Linked DNA regions of Tribolium castaneum. The main gene of each other region encodes a partner of the protein of the gene in region 2 in a complex. Links are inferred from orthologs where the notes say so. Each region holds a gene or a part of one and is shown on either strand. Other genes may lie near its edges.

Region 1 (3,848 bases), on a different chromosome or scaffold from region 2:
ATTGTTTAAATAATTTTTTGAAGGGATAAAAGCTCTTTATTCACGTATAGCATTCAATATTTTTAGAACGTTAAATCACAATTACATTTCAGTTCGCTTTTTGAAAACCTAAATTTTAATATTTAAATGAAAAAGATGAATAAATAGTTATTTATTATACAAGACCATAAAGAGATTGTTTATTTACGATTAAGTTCAAGAATAACAAAGACTTATTTCACGAAAATAATACTTTGATTTTTCTATAGCAGAGACATTAAGTTTAAAAAAAAAAGCTATTGTTAATCCTTAAAATTAACATGTTGGAATTTGTAACTTTATAAATTATTGAATACAATGAATTTAAAACAATTTATGTACGCTTGTGGTAAAGTGCTATTTTATGTACTCAAAAGAATTGATAAAGAAATAATGTATCATCTGATACAGAAAAAACGGTTGTGTGGCAGAGTGAATAAAGCGTTGCTATAAATATTTTATTTATTCTTTTGATTCATTTTATTGATTAAACTATTGTTTTATTAATCAGATTTAATTTATAAAATGAGTATTTTATTAATAGCATTGAATAAACGATTTATTTACCCAGCTTCTTGCTTCAAAATTTTCTCTTTTTCAGTTTTTTCATCTGAAATGGTTTTCAATTCTGCAATTAAACCGTCACGACTTTGTGTTAACTTCGCCTTGTCTTCTTCCACTTCTTTCACTTCAGCTTCTAAATCATGTCTGGAAAAAACGGGTTATAAATGGCACTCATTCCAAACAAACTCACAATTCTTTCTGATGCAAGAAATTCTTACAAACTGCAATTTTGTTCTCTGTTTTCAGAAAAGTAAGCGCTTCTTCCATAGGTCCCTTGAGTTGTTCCAACTGTTTTTCAATCAATGTGAGTCTGTTGAGTTTTTCAGTGCGCAAATCCGACAAATATTCTATTCTCTCATTTAATTGCTCCAAGGGTTTCTACAACAAATTTTTTTTTTTTGTGTTAAACTAATTAAACTTCTTACTTTGTATCTGTGTGTTCCAATGATATCTTCCAGATATTCCAACATTCCTATTTCGTTTTCATTTGCTCCTTTACATTTCATCATTGCGATTTCCTCAACTTCGCCCTAACAAAATTTCATTCAAAAATAAAGCACTTGAAGGAGAAATAATCGCAAACCTGCAAAATCAGAAACCTGTTAGTGTCGATATCAATTCCATGCCCCTTCAACAATTTCCCAATTTCCTTAAATTGGACTCTTCGTCCATTGAGCTCATAAAACGAACTGTTGTCTCTATTGGCAGTCCTTGACACGACAAATTCACTACCTGGAACAACCTCATACTCTTCCCCGGGCTAAAAACAATCACTTATTCACAATTTCATAAAATTAAGCCTTACCTTATCTACGATTTCACAAAAATGCACCGCCACATTGCAAGACTGAACATTAGGATACCGTTCAGAATTGTGAATCAACACTGATAATTTTTTGCACCTCATGCGAGTGGCCCTATATCCAAACACAAACAGCATCGAATCAATGACATTGCTCTTGCCGCTACCGTTGGGGCCAATGATGGCATTAAAACACTACAAAACACTCATTGTCTCTTGTCCAAACCGTCACAAACGTACCTTAGAGAAGGGCCCCAAAACTACATTTTCAGCGTAACTTTTAAAATAATTGTTCACGATCTTTGTGATTATTAAGCGAGTTTGCGACTTCTCGACGTTCCTACGTTTCAAAGGGGGCGGAATGTAAATATCATCCACATAAATACCCTCTTCGTCCGAAAAGTTCAAGTCTTCTTCGACTTGGCTGTTGTCTGGGTGTTCGCGCTTCTTTCCTCTGTTTTCCGTCATTTTTACACATACATAACATACAAGAAACTGCGGAACACAAGCATAACACAACTAAACTCGTTGAAAACACAAAGCACGAAGAAATTTCAAATTTTAACGGTTATGTTGCGTTGTTTTGTTTAGGGTGAAGTTAGTTGCATTATTTAATTCATGTATTAATACGGGTCGTGTAATAAGTGTAAATCGCCCCCTTATTTTCAGTAACTAACTGAGTTTAACGAAATACAGGATAATTATTCTTTTTTAGAGCGAAATAAATTTTTTGTCCTTAGTATATCTAGTTGGTGACGTAGAAATCCCTAGACGTGTGGGTGGTCGGCCTGTTTGATTTTGACGTTTGCCCAAAAAGGAAAAATTAAGATACACTTTTATATTTACTCCAAGATTATAAAACCGAGCAATGAGTGAAGATCTGCAAAGAAAAATCCAGTCGGAGCTGGACAGTTTCAAAAACACACAAAAAGGTACAATAATCTGGTTTTTTGTCCAACCTAACCAAACTTTTCCAGAGTTGCAAAAGGCGATTTCAACGAGACAACAATTAGACAGTCAGTTAAACGAAAATATGATTGTTAAAGACGAATTAGAAATCCTTCCTAAGGATGCTAAAGTGTACAAGTCCGTTGGTCCAGTCCTTATCAAAACTGAACTTGTTGAAGCTAGACAAAATGTGGGCAAACGAATGGATTATATCAAGAAAGAGATTTCGAGGGTTGATGATTTGATCACTTCGATTGAAAAGAAGCAAGATGTGCATAGGGAGGCGCTCCAAAAGCTGCAACATCAGTTTCAACAGGCGCAAGTGAAGGCTGCATTACATGCTTAATTTTGCGAAAAAATCACTTATTTATTAACACGTTTTGTAATACGAAAGAATAATAAAAATCTCGTTAACGCTTTATTTATTTAGTCAATTATCCACTGTTTCTGTTCAACCATGCTACAATGTGTTCAGCTTTACGAAGCCCTGTATACGTTATGGGATAGCCCCCTTTAAACAGTCTCAGTGCTGGAAAACCCCCAATTTCTTGTTCTCGAACTAATGCCTTCTCGACTGTCGCGTCCACTTGTCCCAGTTTAATTTTTGATTGTTGTTTCTCAAGAATCTTGCACACTTTTAAATACTCGGGGGCAAAAGCCTTGCAATGGCTACACCACGGCAGATAAAATTTAACCATTAAAAGTTCGTGATGACTGACCGCCTCTTTAAAATTAAATTGGTTCAAAATCAAAATTCCGTCTTCGGTGGGAAATTCATCTTTTTTACCACCCCCAAGAAAGGAAAACGTGGAACTGATTAAACCAAACGCCGACACGAAAGGGTGCAACATTTTGTGTAAAGTTAGCAGTAAGAAGGCCCCTTCAGCACACAACAGATTTTAAGCATTTTGACCTTGTTTTCAAATATCTCGAAAAATGTTAAAATTTGAAGGGAGCTGCCTTGTTTTTCTATTGCTCCGCTTCAGCACAAAAATGAATACGACTTCAGAGTCCTGTTTCACAAGGTTAACGCCTTTAAAAGAAAAACAGTACTTATTATTAAATTATTATTATTAAACTAATAATTTTAAAGAACATCAGGTAAAAAGGAATTGACGTTTAAAATCCGCGCAGTTTTGAATGTCAATTGTCAAATGTGCAAAAGATTGGTTAGGTTAGCCAAATTTTTAAAACGAAGTTAAAATAAATAAACAAATAATAACAATAATGAATATCCTCGACACGGTGTTGTGCACATCGAAAGCTGAAAAATATTCAAGCAATTTTAAACAATTCAGCATTGATGCATTCACTCTCAAATTGTTCAATGAAGAAGATTTAAAAATCTTGGGTATTGAGGAGGAAGAAATTCGATTAGCTGTTTTACAACATGCTAATAATTTACAAATACCTGCAGAGTATTTTTTACAACCGAATAATTACACAATTTCTAATGTTTTTTTTGCAGAAAACATACAGAGGTTTTGATAGATGAAAAATACGTACAATTAGTTTT
Region 2 (3,680 bases):
CGTCGCCATCTGCCAGATGACTCATCGGCGCAAATACATGGAAGTGGCTAAGGTTGCACATTGAATAATTAATTTTATTATTTTTTTATTTAATAATATATAACAATAATTAGTTTTTGTTGGAACGTATATAATTATCGAAAAACTGGAGCGACTCTTGGAGGTCGGCGTATTTTGCATAAGTGCAAGCGTCGTCGAGTTTCAACCACTTGAAGTCTTGGTGCTCCTCTGATAATTTCACCTCAGCCTTGGGGTTTGTGAGTTCGGCAAGCCAGTAAATAACTTTCTTGGGTTTCCCCTTTACGTTGTAATTTAAAATTTTCTTCACATCGTCGAAGATTTTCAAATCTTCCTGCTTCAAACCGGACTCTTCCATCGTTTCCCGAAGGGCAGTCACCATCTCAGTCTCACCAGGGTCCACATGCCCTGACAAAACATTATTATTTTTGAAAGGAAAAACTGAAGGTTACCTTTAGGAGGGGTCCAGTGGTGTTCGCCATACGAAGTTTGCAATAAAAGATACAAAATATTATCGCAGGCCTTTTTATAAATCACAAAGCCGGCCGCAACTTTCATTTGAAATTTTACGTAAATCGAATTAAAAATTAAAAGGTGAGGTTAGATTCAACCGGTTAAACTGTCAGAAGTGTCAAACAATAAATTTGAGAAACGTTTGTATTTACAATTATTTAATTGTGGACTTGGGACTGACAAAATCTTAATTAATTTACACTGCACCGAACGCTTTATGTAACGCTTTAGCCTCTGCCGAGGAAATGGGTTTCAAGGTGAAGCCCTCTAACCTTGGTTCATGTTCCAAATCCCTTAATTTATGGATTTTGCTCTTAATATTTTTATCCAACTCTAAAATATCCTTATCAGCGTTTGCAATTTCTAAAAAACTTTGGTCAGAATATTGTAAAAAAAATATTTTTTGCGGACCTGTTTTTAAAATCTCCTTACATTCACTAGTCGGTCGTTCAATAAAAACTGAACCGAGCTGCATCCAAGCCCTTCGGTCCTCTGTGCCCTCCAGGGCCCTCAGGGCTTCCCTAAACTTATTCCTGGAATTGGACAAATCCAACTTTGTTTCTTTTTCAGTTAAAATGTCTTGCGCTAGAGTTTCCACCTCGTATAAGTATTGAAACGATTTCTGGTTTTGCACGTCTTGGAATTGGGACATTTTCTCACAACAAGACGTAACTTTACACACCATAACCACCACCATCATCCATTTGACATTAGAGGTTAGGTGCTAGTTGTGTTTTCGCACCGTCATTTGAACCAAACAAAACTGCCCCAAAATGGCTTTAGCCGAGATTTGCGGAATGTCGGACTTCGACACCTTCAGACGCGAAGCCCCCTTCGACAACGAAATCGCCAAAATGAGCAACAACTTCACCCACAACACTTTGCTCAGCGTACCCCCCTATTCTAACGTAAGTAGCCCCTTGAAAATACCCCCAGATAACAAATTTGTGACAGCCGGCCGAGAACCTGGCCTACTTCTCGAAGGACGAGTCAGGTCGGGACATCAAAATCAAGTTTGACCACGGCACCACCACGCTGGGGTTCATGTACAAGGGGGGCGTAGTGCTCGCCGTGGACTCCCGAGCCACGGGGGGCCAATTCATCGGCTCCCAAACCATGAAGAAAATCGTCGAAATCAATGATTTTCTCCTGGGGACTTTGGCCGGGGGCGCCGCTGACTGTGTGTATTGGGACCGCGTCCTGGCTAAGCAGTGCCGCATGTACGAATTACGCAACCGGGAGCGGATTTCGGTCGCAGCCGCCTCGAAACTGATGGCCAACATGGTGTATAATTACAAGGGGATGGGGCTGTCAATGGGCATGATGCTGGCAGGATGGGACAAAAGGGTATTTATTTGAACAAGTTAGACCGCTTGATCAGTGTTGTTGTTCAGGGGCCCCAGCTGTATTACGTGGATTCGGAGGGGACCAGAACCCCTGGGAAAGTCTTCAGTGTTGGCTCGGGCTCCATTTATGCGTTTGGCGTCCTGGATTCGGGGTACAAGTGGGATTTGACGGATGAGGAGGCGTATGATTTGGGGCGCCGGTCGATTTACCATGCCACCCATCGGGACGCCTATTCTGGTGGTATCGTCAGGGTGTACCATATGAAGCCGACCGGCTGGGTGCATATTGATAACAACGACTGTATGGACTTGCACTACAAATACCAGGACGAGAAGTTGCAGGAAATAAATAAGGTTTAGCTTTGTAATGAATTAAATTGAATAAATTTTTTTAACATAGTTGGCGTTTGTTTTTCCCTGTCATTCCTGTCATTGTCACTATGACGCATCCAAATTCAAGTTTAATTAATAATTTGCGGTAAGTGGATTGATTAATTAAAATTAGTTGTGAGAAATCAATAATTAGATGAGAGTTTCTCGTCTGAAGTATGTAATTTGTATTTATCACACCGTGCGCTGCGCGTGCCCAATCGGCGACGATGAAAAACACAAAACGATCGCCAAACAATCGAAAGGCGTGACTTTGACATCTGACAGCATGGAAGTCGGACCCTTGACTTCGGAGCCAACTTGGCAACAACTCCAAGATTATTACAACAAGAACGCCTCAAAGCTGGTGATTAAGGACCTTTTCGCCCAGGACCCGAACCGCTTCAACAACTTCAGGTGAGTGTCAAGCGCGTTTCATTGAAAAATCGCCCGGAAAATTGGAAAAGCCGAGTGACCTCTACGCGTCCTTGCACTGGAGTTTGTTTTCACTAACCGGAGGCCACTGAGATAATATTATTGTTTGATTTTTTTTCAGCTTGAAGCTGAAAACGCCCAACGATGGCGACATCCTGGTCGATTATTCGAAAAACCGCATCAATTCCGATGTTCTCAAACTGTTGTTTTCCTTGGCCCGCGCCCGCAAGGTCGAAAATGCACGCGATGCAATGTTTTCCGGGCAGAAAATCAACTTTACAGAGGACAGGGCCGTACTGCACACGGCTTTGCGTAATCGCTCCAATCAGGCGATTCTAGTCGATGGGAAAAATGTGATGCCGGAGGTGAATGCGGTCCTGGAGCACATGAAGCAGTTCACTAATTCGGTCCTGAGCGGGCAGTGGAAGGGGTAATTAATTCAATTATTGTTGCATAATAACAGGTAATTTTTTCGCTTTCAGTTACACAGGCAAGCCCATCACCGACGTGGTGAATATTGGCATCGGGGGCTCCGACCTGGGCCCCCTTATGGTGACCGAAGCCCTGAAGGCGTACGGTCGCGGCTTGCGAATGCATTTCGTGTCGAACATCGACGGTACGCATTTAGCCGAAGTTTTGAAAAAAATCGACGCTGAGTCTGTACTTTTTATCATTGCTTCGAAAACATTCACAACACAGGAGACAATAACCAATGCCACTTCGGCCAAGCAGTGGTTCTTAACCCATGCTAAAGATGTAATTTGCTTGCAAAAATGCAATTTTTTGTTGTTTTAACTGGGTTTTTAGCCTGCTGCTGTTGCTAAACATTTCGTTGCTTTGAGCACAAATGGGCCGAAAGTGAAGGAGTTTGGCATCGATACGGCCAATATGTTTGAGTTTTGGGACTGGGTTGGAGGTAGGTATTCCCTGTGGTCCGCTATCGGGCTTAGTATTTCGCTGGCGATTGGGTTCGAGAATTTTCTCCAGTTGTTGGAAGGG

What was found.
Region 1: Pdrg1 (region 2) and Pfdn6 share a complex: the UniProt entries of both Homo sapiens proteins name them as parts of the PAQosome complex. The link is inferred for Tribolium castaneum from reciprocal best matches to the Homo sapiens genes PDRG1 and PFDN6.

The regions. Positions count from the first base shown.
Region 1 is NC_087394.1:25,216,342-25,220,189, forward strand, and holds Pfdn6 (prefoldin subunit 6), read left to right. Parts: upstream 1-2,115; 5' UTR 2,116-2,252; coding exon 2,253-2,316; intron 2,317-2,361; coding exon 2,362-2,678; 3' UTR 2,679-2,753; downstream 2,754-3,848. Other genes in the region: glu (structural maintenance of chromosomes protein 4), read right to left, coding at 586-726, 773-960, 1,008-1,112, 1,166-1,342, 1,388-1,579, 1,625-1,852. UniProt on the Homo sapiens protein: Binds specifically to cytosolic chaperonin (c-CPN) and transfers target proteins to it. Binds to nascent polypeptide chain and promotes folding in an environment in which there are many competing pathways for nonnative proteins.
Region 2 is NC_087396.1:22,906,525-22,910,204, reverse strand, and holds Pdrg1 (p53 and DNA damage-regulated protein 1), read right to left. Parts: upstream 1,232-3,680; coding exon 943-1,231; intron 895-942; coding exon 728-894; 3' UTR 664-727; downstream 1-663. Other genes in the region: Datp (bis(5'-nucleosyl)-tetraphosphatase [asymmetrical]), read right to left, coding at 110-426, 471-576; Prosbeta5 (proteasome subunit beta type-5), read left to right, coding at 1,305-1,439, 1,486-1,878, 1,926-2,237; Pgi (glucose-6-phosphate isomerase), read left to right, coding at 2,404-2,663, 2,803-3,111, 3,164-3,437, 3,489-3,680. UniProt on the Homo sapiens protein: May play a role in chaperone-mediated protein folding.